Linked DNA regions of Macaca fascicularis. The protein of the gene in region 2 interacts with the protein of the main gene of each other region in a biochemical or structural test. Links are inferred from orthologs where the notes say so. Each region holds a gene or a part of one and is shown on either strand. Other genes may lie near its edges.

Region 1 (5,052 bases), on a different chromosome or scaffold from region 2:
GAAGCCAGTCCCTCTTAGAACATTCATAGTCCACAGGGTTGAGAGGTGCCAGTGGGCAAGTGCCATCCCACACAGGTGTCATTACCCCTTGGTGACCCAGGACAGGCGCGGGCAGGAGCCGGAAGGGCTGGGCAGTAAACACACTGCAGGACGGCCTCAGTCAGGTTTCTGCCTAAGTCTGCAAAGGTCACTGAACTGCAGGTGGGTGAGGATGTGCCTGTGCCAATAAGCTCCTGATAAGAGGCTCATTGCAGCAACCCAGGATCCTGCCGAGCCCACGGATGGCTGGGACAAAGCACTGGACAGCAAGCACGATTTCTCCCAAACATGCCAAATGATAAATAAACAAGGAACACAAAACCGAATAACTGGAGGACCTCCTTCTATTTACTCGGCTTGTCCTTTGGGAGAAATAAGTATTACATTCCCCATACAGAAGATGAAATGACTTCAAGTTTCTAGAAGAATGTGGAATCTTTATTTAAGAAAGAAAGAGGCCAGGCGAGGTGGCTCACGCCTGTAATCCCAGCACTTTGGGAGGCCAAGGCAGGCAGATCATGAGGTCAGGAGTTCGAGACCAGCCTGGCCAGGATGGTGAAACCCCATCTCCACTAAAAATACAAAAAAACTAGCTGGGCATGGTGGCACGACGCCTGTAGTCCCAGCTACTTGGGAGGCTGAGGCAGAAGAATTGCTTGAACCCCACAGGTGGAGGTCGCAGTGAGCCGAGATCATGCCACTGCACTCCAGCCTGGGTGACAGAGCGAGCGAGACTCCGTCTCAAAAAAGAAAGAAAGGAAGAGAGAGAGAAAGGAAAGAGAGAGAGAGAGAAAGGAAGGAAGGAAGGAAGGAAGGAAGGAAGGAAGGAAGGAAGGAAGGAAGGAAGGAAGGAAGGAAGGAGGGAGGGAGGGAGGGAGGGAGGGAGGGAGGGAGGGAGGGAGGGAAGGAAGGAAGGAAGGCAGGCAGGCAGGAAGGAAGGAAGGAAGGAAGGAAGGAAGGAAGGAAGGAAGGAAGGAAAGAGAAAGAGAGAGAAAGATCCTCAATCTGTGTTAGACCATGCACAGGGGATCAAGAGGCACAAAGGGGGCTGGGCCCGGTGGCTCACACCTGTAATCCCAGCACTTTGGGAGGCCGAGATGGGCGGATCACTTGAGGTTGGGAGTTCGAGACCAGCCTGGACAACAAGGTGAAACTCCATCTCTACTAAAAATACAAAAATTAGCTGGGCGTGGTGGTGGGCACCTGTAATCCCAGCTCCATGGGAGACTGAGGCAGGAGAAACGCTTGAACCCGGGAGGCACAGGTTGCAGTGAGCCGAGATCGGGTCACTGCATTCCAGCCTGTGGGACAGAGCAAGACTCTGCCAAAAAGAAAAAAAGAAAAAAAAGGCACAAAGGGATTTCAGGTGACCCAACCCCCAATTTGGGCAGAATGGCGGGTTAGGTTGATGTCCCCTGCTGGCCTCCCATCATTAGAAGCACTCCCCCCACCATCATATATGTCAAAATTAAAGTTGCAAGGGTGGGTTTGGAGCGGCTCTGGGTGGGAGTCAGCGTCCAGCGTGCCGACCACCCCGTTTCCCTGCAGTCCTCTCACGCAGGACTCCGCCATAAAACCTGAAACAGGCGCTCTGAGTACACGGAGCACGACAGAAGCACCGAGCAATTTTGAGACTCTTAAAATGCTTTGTCCCGCTGTTCACAAAGGAGCTGGTTGTGCTGGAGGCGGCCCCGCCTCTGCATCCTTTCTGGGGTGGGGGCCCCGGGCAGGCGCGGCCACCCCCGCCCTGGCCCCTGCTCCGCCAGGGAGTCCGGGGCTGCGTGTGAGGCCTGCGCGGGCCGAGACCTCACACAGCCTCCTCTGCGCGCGGGGCCGCGGGAGGGGCGCGGGTTCGTTCCTTTGAACTCCCAGCCTTTGTTCCAGGGCCACCAGAGCCCCAGCGCTCGTACACTTCCGGCCCCGGGACCTCTGCGGTTACCTGGGCCTTCCCAGCCAGCCGCCACCCCCTGCCCCCACCAGAAAGCGTTTACAGGACAGGTGAGGCCCGCAGGAGGAAAAGCACGCCTCTGGCGCAACTTGACTCCAGCGCATCTGCGTCTAAGCCACATCGTGCTCCTGGTAGATTAAAAATTAATTCTAAAAAAACTCGCCTATCCCAAATGCACTGTTTTCTGCCTTGCTGGACAATTGATTTGTTTTTTAAAGGAAAGTTATGGGTAGACCCTCTTTTTTCTTTCCTGTTCTTTTTTTCTTCTTTTTATACTGGAGGGAGGGAAACGGAGGCGAGGACCACACACGCGCAGGCAGAGGCTGAAAAGGCCCGAGGTGGGTTTTCCTGTTTAATATCAAAGGAGGCCGAATAATGGGTTTCCTCGGTCCGGCTGGGCCGGCCTTTGACTCAATTGCAAATGCAAAGGCAGCTTTTGCCTATTCTCTGGCTACTGGCTGAGACCCTAAATTTCAGTAGAAAATCGTCGGACATGCACTTAATCGGTCTTTGCAATCTCCCTCAAAGTTGCACACGGGTCTGGTCGGAGGAGGCGAGAAAACCCTGGATTCGAACCAGCGCCTTTTTCTCCTTCCGGCCTCCGCCCGGGGACAGGCGTTGGTTCCCCGCCCCGGCGCATCCGCCCCGTGGGGACACTTACCAGCCCCTGCATCTTGCCGTCGGCGCCCATGCAGAGGTACCGCACGCTGTGCACGCCCTTGATGGCCACGGTCCGCAGAGCTACTGCCTTGATCTCCAGCAAACCTGGGCGCAGGGAAAGCGAGAAGCTGCAGCCGGGACCCCCGGGGCTCGCACCACGTGGGTGCGGTCGGTCCACGAGCCTGTGCCTCTCCCTAGCGTCCCGCGCCGTTTGGGGACTAAGGGAGGGATCCTAACGCCCAAGTGCCAAAACCTGGGGTTCCCAGGAGTTGAGGGGTCCGCAGGAGCCTAAGGGTGGCAAAGGAAGGAAGGGCGCTGGGGTGGGATGCGCGGGGCGGGGCGGGCGGGGGACCTGGCTGGCACTCACTGTGCGCGCTTTGGCCCCGCGCGCAGTCCACGACGCCGTCGGTGCGGATGCGCAGGAAGCAGCTGGAGAGCCCATGGGGGCCGGAGGTGTACAGGTGCCGCAGGCGGATGGGGTCGCCCCAGCCGTAGTGCACGTGGGGCCCCGCGTCCGAGAAGGCGAGGGGACGCCCGGCCACGGCCAGCCAGAGGCTGGCCAGGATCCAGGCGTGGACCACCACACACCCGCTCCTCATGGCACCTCCCTGGGGCTCTCGGCGCAGTTCCGGCGATGGGGGTGCGGGAGGCTGGGCGGCGACCGGGATGCGCTGCGGGGCTGTGAGTGCCGGATTGGGATGGCCGTGGCCCTCGATCCTGGACGCAGCGCTCCTGCTCCGACGGCGCGGCGGCTCCGGGCCGGCAACCTTATATAGTAGCGCCTTACGGGCCCCGCGGGTAGGTGCCCAAGACACCCGAGCATTTCTTATCGGGATTGCATCAAGCCTCCGCCCCCCGCACACACCCACTCACACCCCGCCTCCGGCCCCAGCCCCCTCCCCGGGCCCGGGCAGGCAGGCGGCGGCTTCTTGTCCCAGCCGGGGTGACCCCGCCCAGGCCGTTCGGATCTGCGGGAGGAGGAGGCCTCGTTTAGCGGCCGGGTTTCGGGGAACTCCTCCCCACCGCGCAGCGGCCCCGAGGTTCTTGGCTGGGAGAGTTTGACTTTGCAAAGCAATCGACAACTGGGGCCCCTCCCCCAGGCGTCGGGCTCCCAGTGGATGCTCTCGGCATGGGGCACCAGCAGGGGCGGGGTCAGGAACCCCGGGGTCAGAGGTTTGGGGGCACCGAGTTTTGCCTCCTTCACCCTCTAGTCGGTAAAAGCCTCACCTCGGCCTTAGGGTCCTTCCCCTTAAAAGGCCACTCGCACTCCCTCCCCCGACTTTCCCAGCCCAGCACATCTGACGTCAAAGCCGTCCAATAGAATTTCCCCCCGCAGTTCCGACCGTCTCAGGTTCTCCCAGCTTCATCTTCTTGCAATTCCTGCCCCGCCCCTTTTATCCGGGTAAATTGCCCCCCGACGGGGGGCCGGGCGCGCTCTCTGCGGGCCGGGAAACAATGGGAGCCGCGCGGACTGTAGGTGGCGCCGCAGCCTCGGCGTCGGCCTCGGCTTTGCGCTCCTGGCCGCGCGCCCCTGCCTGCTCCGCGCTCGCCCCGGCCCCGCGGCTGTGCCCGAGATGCTACCTGAAAGGGGGCACTGGGAAGAAGGCTCTCGGGCAGGGGGTGCGGGCCAGCTGCGGGATTGGTGAACCCCAGCTTCTCGGCTGGAGGGTGATGGAGGCAGAGGCGCAGGGAGGGAGGCCTGGGCCTCCGTTTCCCGGTTTTTGAGCTGTCTTGTGTCGGGGGTCTGGTCCTTCAGTCCCCGAGTCTCTGCGCACGGGGTCAGGGGGAACAGCACGGTCGGGGAGGTCGAGAGCGCCTTACCTGGTGGGGAGGGGTCGGGAAGGGGCCAAGGAACGGTGATGGGCGCCCCTGGCTTCCGGGCATGTGCCAGGTGAGGAAAGAAATAGGGGCCGCTCCATGAAGTGGTTCCTGTAAATAAAGAAAAGGACATCCAGAGAATACCCTGGCGGGGAATAAAGGGGTCCTCCTAGGGGGGTTTGGCTTAACTCTAATTATTTCTTGTTATTCTTCCAAACCCCCAGCTCCTAGATGTGGGGCCCCAGGAGGCTGGTTTTGGGGCAGAGCCCTCCTGGCCCAGCGCAAAGGCGATGGGGAGGGCAAACGGGAGAGACAGCGAGAGAAATGCCAGGCCTAATGAATTTCAATGAGCACAGGCCACATTCATCCCCCAGTCAGTGACTGGCGTTAATGACTGAGGGCGCAGCAAATGTCACCAGGAAAGTCTTTACAAAAAGACATCATCCCGAAGGCTTTCTAGACCAGGGACCCCCACGCTGTGTGTCTTGGTTCAGAAAGCAGTGGCTTCTGTTAAATCTAATTACTTCCCCCCTGTGGCTTTAAATCGACGGCGGCTCCTATTAAACTTAATTACCCTCCCCTGCAGC
Region 2 (4,899 bases):
TACCAGTGGCCACCACGCTCAGCCCGCCCACAGCACAGCCGCACAGGCTGCCCAAGGGCTACTGTCAGCTCCTGCTCTTGCTGCTCCATGCTGGGAGCCAGGCAGGGCTCTGTGGGCAGAGGGCAGAGGTCAGCAGACCCCACAGCCCCATCTGAGGCAGCCTCCTGCGTACAGAGAACACGCCACACATGCAGGGCACAAGCACCTCGCGACGCATGCTGGAGGAGCCACCGCTCCTTGACACCCGCACAGCCACATGCTGCGGATGCCACACCCAGGGCAAATGCCACACTCTTGGGGCATGTCACGCACACAGCATTTAGTGCACATGACACTGGCCAAGACACACACACACACACACACACGGACACACACACACAAGGCACATGCTATCGGTGCCATATACAGGGTCATGCTGCGCTGGGGCATATCACCCTCATAATGCATACACCACACATGCTGCCTGGACCTCCTAGGTCACACATCCAGTGCACAGAACACACACACACACACGCGCGCGCACACACCCAGGCAAGGAGCTCACCACCAGCTCTGCGGCCCAGCTTAGGGCCCTGCACCCTGCGAGGCCAGTCCTCTCTCGCAGACACAGAGATACATGGATGCTTGCTGGAAGCCAGGCACTGACTGAGTCTCAGTGGTTGAGCCCTGCCCTGTTGCCACTTTCTCAGGGCCTGGGCAAGGATCCTTTCCAGCTTTGCTCAGCCCAGCAGCCCCCTCCTGGTGCCCACTCTTCCCACCCCTGCCACCCTCTCCCCCCTCAGAAGCCATACCCAGCTCCACTTCCTCCGAGGCCTCCAGGGACAAGACTGGAGGCCCAGGCACACTCAGCAGGACCCCCAAGAGGGCCGACAGCAGCCGCATCTCCTTCCCGCAGCTCTCAGGGGCCCAGGCTGGACTTCCCACCAACTGCCTTCCTAGAATAGGGGGGGAAAAGAGCTCCTGCTCCACATGCACCTTTGCGGGGGCTTTCCCTTATTTTGCAGATGAGGAAACGGAGACAGGAAGTGGCCAGTAGATGTGTCCAAGTCCCTGGCCAGGCTGTGGCAGTGCAGACTGGAACCAGCTCTGCTGTAGCCAGAGCCTGACGCCTTCCTACAGTAGGTTGTGCAAGGGGTCTGGGCTGGGCTTCCTGCTCTCCTTGAGTCCTGCTGGGACCCTGGCACACGTTCACAGAAAGCAGTTTTGGGATTCTTTTCTTGGAGGGAAGCAGAGAACGGAGACTATCTTCTGCATGCTCTTGGCACACGTAATTTATTTTTTGCTGAATAAATGAATTGATTGCCGAAGAGCCAAAAAACAAAGTGAAAAATGATACAAGGCCAAACTTCAGCATCTGGATGTTATCTGATCCAATCCCCACTCCTTATAGCATTACTGACATTTCCAGAGCTGGGCGCCCACCACTGACAAGGCAGCTCCTTCCGTGGCAAGCAGGACCGCATCCCTGAATACCTCTGCTTGTCATGCACCAACTCCATCCGAGGTACACACGGTTTTGTAAAGAATACAGACCGTAATTATCCATCCACCAGAGCCAAGTTCAAATCCCGACTCTCATCAACTTGTAATTCCTTGTCTCTGTCTCTCTCTGGGTTACTATCCTCATAGGACTGTTTTGAGGATAAAAGAGACAACGTGCATCGGCACTGGGCACACAGAGTGTTGGAATGTTCTTCTCCCTGTGCCCGGCCCTAGAACTGTTCACCTGTTGCCCTGGGTCTGCCCTCAGCCAGTCACCTCCGGTTCGGGTGCTGTTACTGTCAGGCTGTGATGTACACACACCCCAGCTGGCTATCCTCTTCCAAATGCTACCAAGGACACCTCTGTTCCCCAAAACAGAACACTCAGAACCGAGTCTCAGCTGGGACAAAGGAATACTGTGATCACTGCAGTCCTAGGGGCCTATGGGTGGCACTGGTGCCTCTGGATCTACCCTGTGTGGGAAGCCTATCACACCTCCTTACCCTTGGTCACTGCCACTCCACTTCCAGTCCATCTGGCTTCCCCTGCCCTGACTCAGGGCAGGTCATGGCCATCTCTTGCATGGGCCTTTGGAAACATCCTCTCCCTGGGCTCTTCAACCTTCATCTTCCAGCAGAGTTTTAAAAAACTACAAGTCTGCCATGTCATGCCCCCAGCTTGCAAGCCCTTAATGGTTACCTGTGCCCAGCAGGATTCAGCTCAGCATCCTAGGGCTCCCTCTGTTCCGCTGCCTATCTCTTTGGTCACACCGTCTGTCCCTTCAGGAGCGCTGAAGCCATTGGCTCTCAAAACTGGTCACATATGCTCTCTTGCCCATCCCTCTGTGCCCCCCATTCCTCTTCTCTACTTGACTCAGATACTGCTGTCTCTGAGGCCACTTCAACTCTCAAATCCAGTTGGATCCCCCTTGGTAAAACCCCCTACCAAGCTCGGCTTGGCAGGGAGGGCAGCTCTTTGAGTACACAGCTTGGGCTGGGAGTGGCTGGGGAGGCCCGGGGATTTTATTCCTACCCCAGGCTGCCCTGATATCAGAGTCCGTGGAAAAGTCACCCGTGGCTGCTGACCGCTGACCGACCACCCCACACGTGGGAACAGAGGGCCTGCCTTAGGCATCAGACAGCCTCCCGCACTCGCGGTGGAGGCCCCCGGGCGCTAAGTGACTGAAACTTTCGGGGCCTCAGCTCCCTCATCTCTGCCGCCGGCGCGAAGACAGCCGCAGGGACAAGCTTGTCCTCCCCCACCCTTGCCGGGCCAGCCTGGGGGGAGGTGCGAATCAATGGGTCCCGAGGGTAGCTGCACAGGGCCAGCCTGCCCCCGCCTCGGTGGGCAATGAGTAACCAGCTCCGCGGCCAGGGTGCTCTTTGGACGGAGCGGGACAAAAGGCCCTGTGTGCACTGCGGGTTACTGATTTACCGCCCCCTCCACCCCCTGCCGCCCGGCGGACGCCCAGGTCCCCTGCGCCGGGAGGGGCAGTCCCTGCAGCCCCGCCGCCGCTCGCCCCCTGGCGGCTGGGAGCGCAGCCCGGGCCCGCAAGGGTTCCGGCTCACCTCGAGCCTGCGTGACTCCGCGCCCTGCACAGGGTCCTGGTCGCCTGCCTCCTACTCACCTGGCTCCTCTGCCGCCTCACTCCCAGCTCCAGCCGGCCGCGACCCCTGCACCCGGCGGGGTCCGCAGACAGCCCAAGCGCTCCTCAGCCGGGAGCAAGGAATGTACCCGCGACGGCGGCGTGGCCGCGGGCGGCCCACCTCCTGCCCCGCCCCTCGGGCCCGCCCCTCCTGCTCGGGCCCGCCCGCCTCCTGCCACGCCCCCTCGGGCCCACCCCTCCTGGCCCAGCTCGAGCCGGAGAGAGGTGTGGCCGGCGGGGGAGGTGGCCAAGAGCCCCGCCCACCTGGAGACCTGCCGCCGACCCAGTCAGCCCACTCCAGGGACCCCGCCCCAGCCTATACACACACCCCTACGCACACCCCCTATACACACCCCATTCAGGCTCCTCCTCTTTCGCCCCACCCAGGCTCCAGGCCAGGCTTCTAAGTTCTAGTCCACTACCCAGCTCTACTGCTTGCTTTTCACCCCTCAGGGAATGCCTGGCTCCCCTGTCTTCTGCGCAGTACCGTGCAGTGGATAGGAGAACCCCTTCCTTCGGCTCCCTCATTTGTTCTCTGCGCAACCTGGGGAGTGATACTTACAACACAAATCTGACTGTGTCAGCCACTCCCTTAAATTTTCCTATAGCTTCCCATAGCTCTTTATACATAGATTATTGCCATGACCCACGCCTCCTGGCTCCCTGCTACTCCTGGGCAGTTTCAGGTACCATTCCCTCTTCCTGGAATGCCCTTTGGTCTGGTTAATTTTATATTATTCTCAGCTCACTTCCTCCAGGAAGCCCTCCGGACTTGCAAGCTCCTCTTAGATGACTTCTCTGTTGTGAGGATGGAGAAAGAAACAGAGTGAAGTGGTTCAGAGCACAGACTACAGGGCTGGACGTCATAGGCCCAGCTCTCAGCACCATCACACAAGGCCTCGGTCTTCACTGTCTTTTCAGTGAAACAGGCAAATGATAGTCTCACCCTCAAGAGGTTGTTGCAAAAAGTAGATGTGGCTGGGCGCGGTGGCTCAAGCCTGTAATCCCAGCACTTTGAGAGGCCAAGACGGGCGGATCACGAGGTCAGGAGATCAAGACCATCCTGGCTAACCCGGTGAAACCCCGTCTCTACTAAAAAATACAAAAAACTAGCCGGGCGAGGTGGCGGGCGCCTGTGGTCCCAGCTACTCGGGAGGCTGAGGCAGGAGAATGGCGTGAACCCGGGAGGCGGAGCTTGCAGTGAGCCGAGATCGGCCACAGCACTCCAGCCTGGGCGACAGAGCGAGACTCCATCTCAAAAAAACAAAAAGTAGACATGTTAGCAGTATATGTAAGCCTGGCATGCAGCGCTTGCTTTGTAATACTAGTGAAAGGACACAAAGATAGATGTGTACCCGCCCCCCACCCGCTACACCTTTGTTCTGCTCTCTAATCTTTGCACATACCAGAGATTTCGTAAGTTCTGTGAGTACCTGGTTTTCTGCACGTACCAGAGATTTTGTTTTGCACATACCAGAGATTTTGTAAGTTCTGAGGCAAGGTCACAAGACGTGTTTAAGTAAGAAAAACTCTTGCTGCCATAAACCTGCTCTCCCGCCTCAAAGTTTGAACCAAAATATCAGAAATGGCGGGAACCAATCATAGTTAGCCAAATCGCCTTGTTCAAACACTAGCCAATCATATATCTGATTTGTATAATAACTCTATGCCCACTTTTCTTAGACTATATAACACTGCTCGGAGCTCAGTGGGGGAGCTCTCCTGCCTGTCTCGTTTCACGAGCGAGGGAGAGTTCCAGGTTCGAACCTGTA

Evidence for each region. The genes of interacting proteins can lie anywhere in the genome.
Region 1: the proteins of FGFR4 (region 2) and FGF19 form a complex in vitro, tested with the Homo sapiens proteins (2 studies listed by BioGRID and IntAct). The link is inferred for Macaca fascicularis from reciprocal best matches to the Homo sapiens genes FGFR4 and FGF19.

What each region holds. Positions count from the first base shown.
Region 1 is NC_088388.1:4,953,599-4,958,650, reverse strand, and holds the start of FGF19 (fibroblast growth factor 19), read right to left. Parts: upstream 3,393-5,052; 5' UTR 3,247-3,392; coding exon 3,015-3,246; intron 2,753-3,014; coding exon 2,649-2,752; intron 1-2,648. UniProt on the Homo sapiens protein: Involved in the suppression of bile acid biosynthesis through down-regulation of CYP7A1 expression, following positive regulation of the JNK and ERK1/2 cascades. Stimulates glucose uptake in adipocytes. Activity requires the presence of KLB and FGFR4.
Region 2 is NC_088380.1:184,007,096-184,011,994, reverse strand, and holds the start of FGFR4 (fibroblast growth factor receptor 4), read right to left. Parts: upstream 3,254-4,899; 5' UTR 3,110-3,253; intron 2,727-3,109; exon of another isoform or gene 2,182-2,726; intron 936-2,181; 5' UTR 883-935; coding exon 792-882; exon of another isoform or gene 545-791; intron 110-544; coding exon 1-109. UniProt on the Homo sapiens protein: Tyrosine-protein kinase that acts as a cell-surface receptor for fibroblast growth factors and plays a role in the regulation of cell proliferation, differentiation and migration, and in regulation of lipid metabolism, bile acid biosynthesis, glucose uptake, vitamin D metabolism and phosphate homeostasis.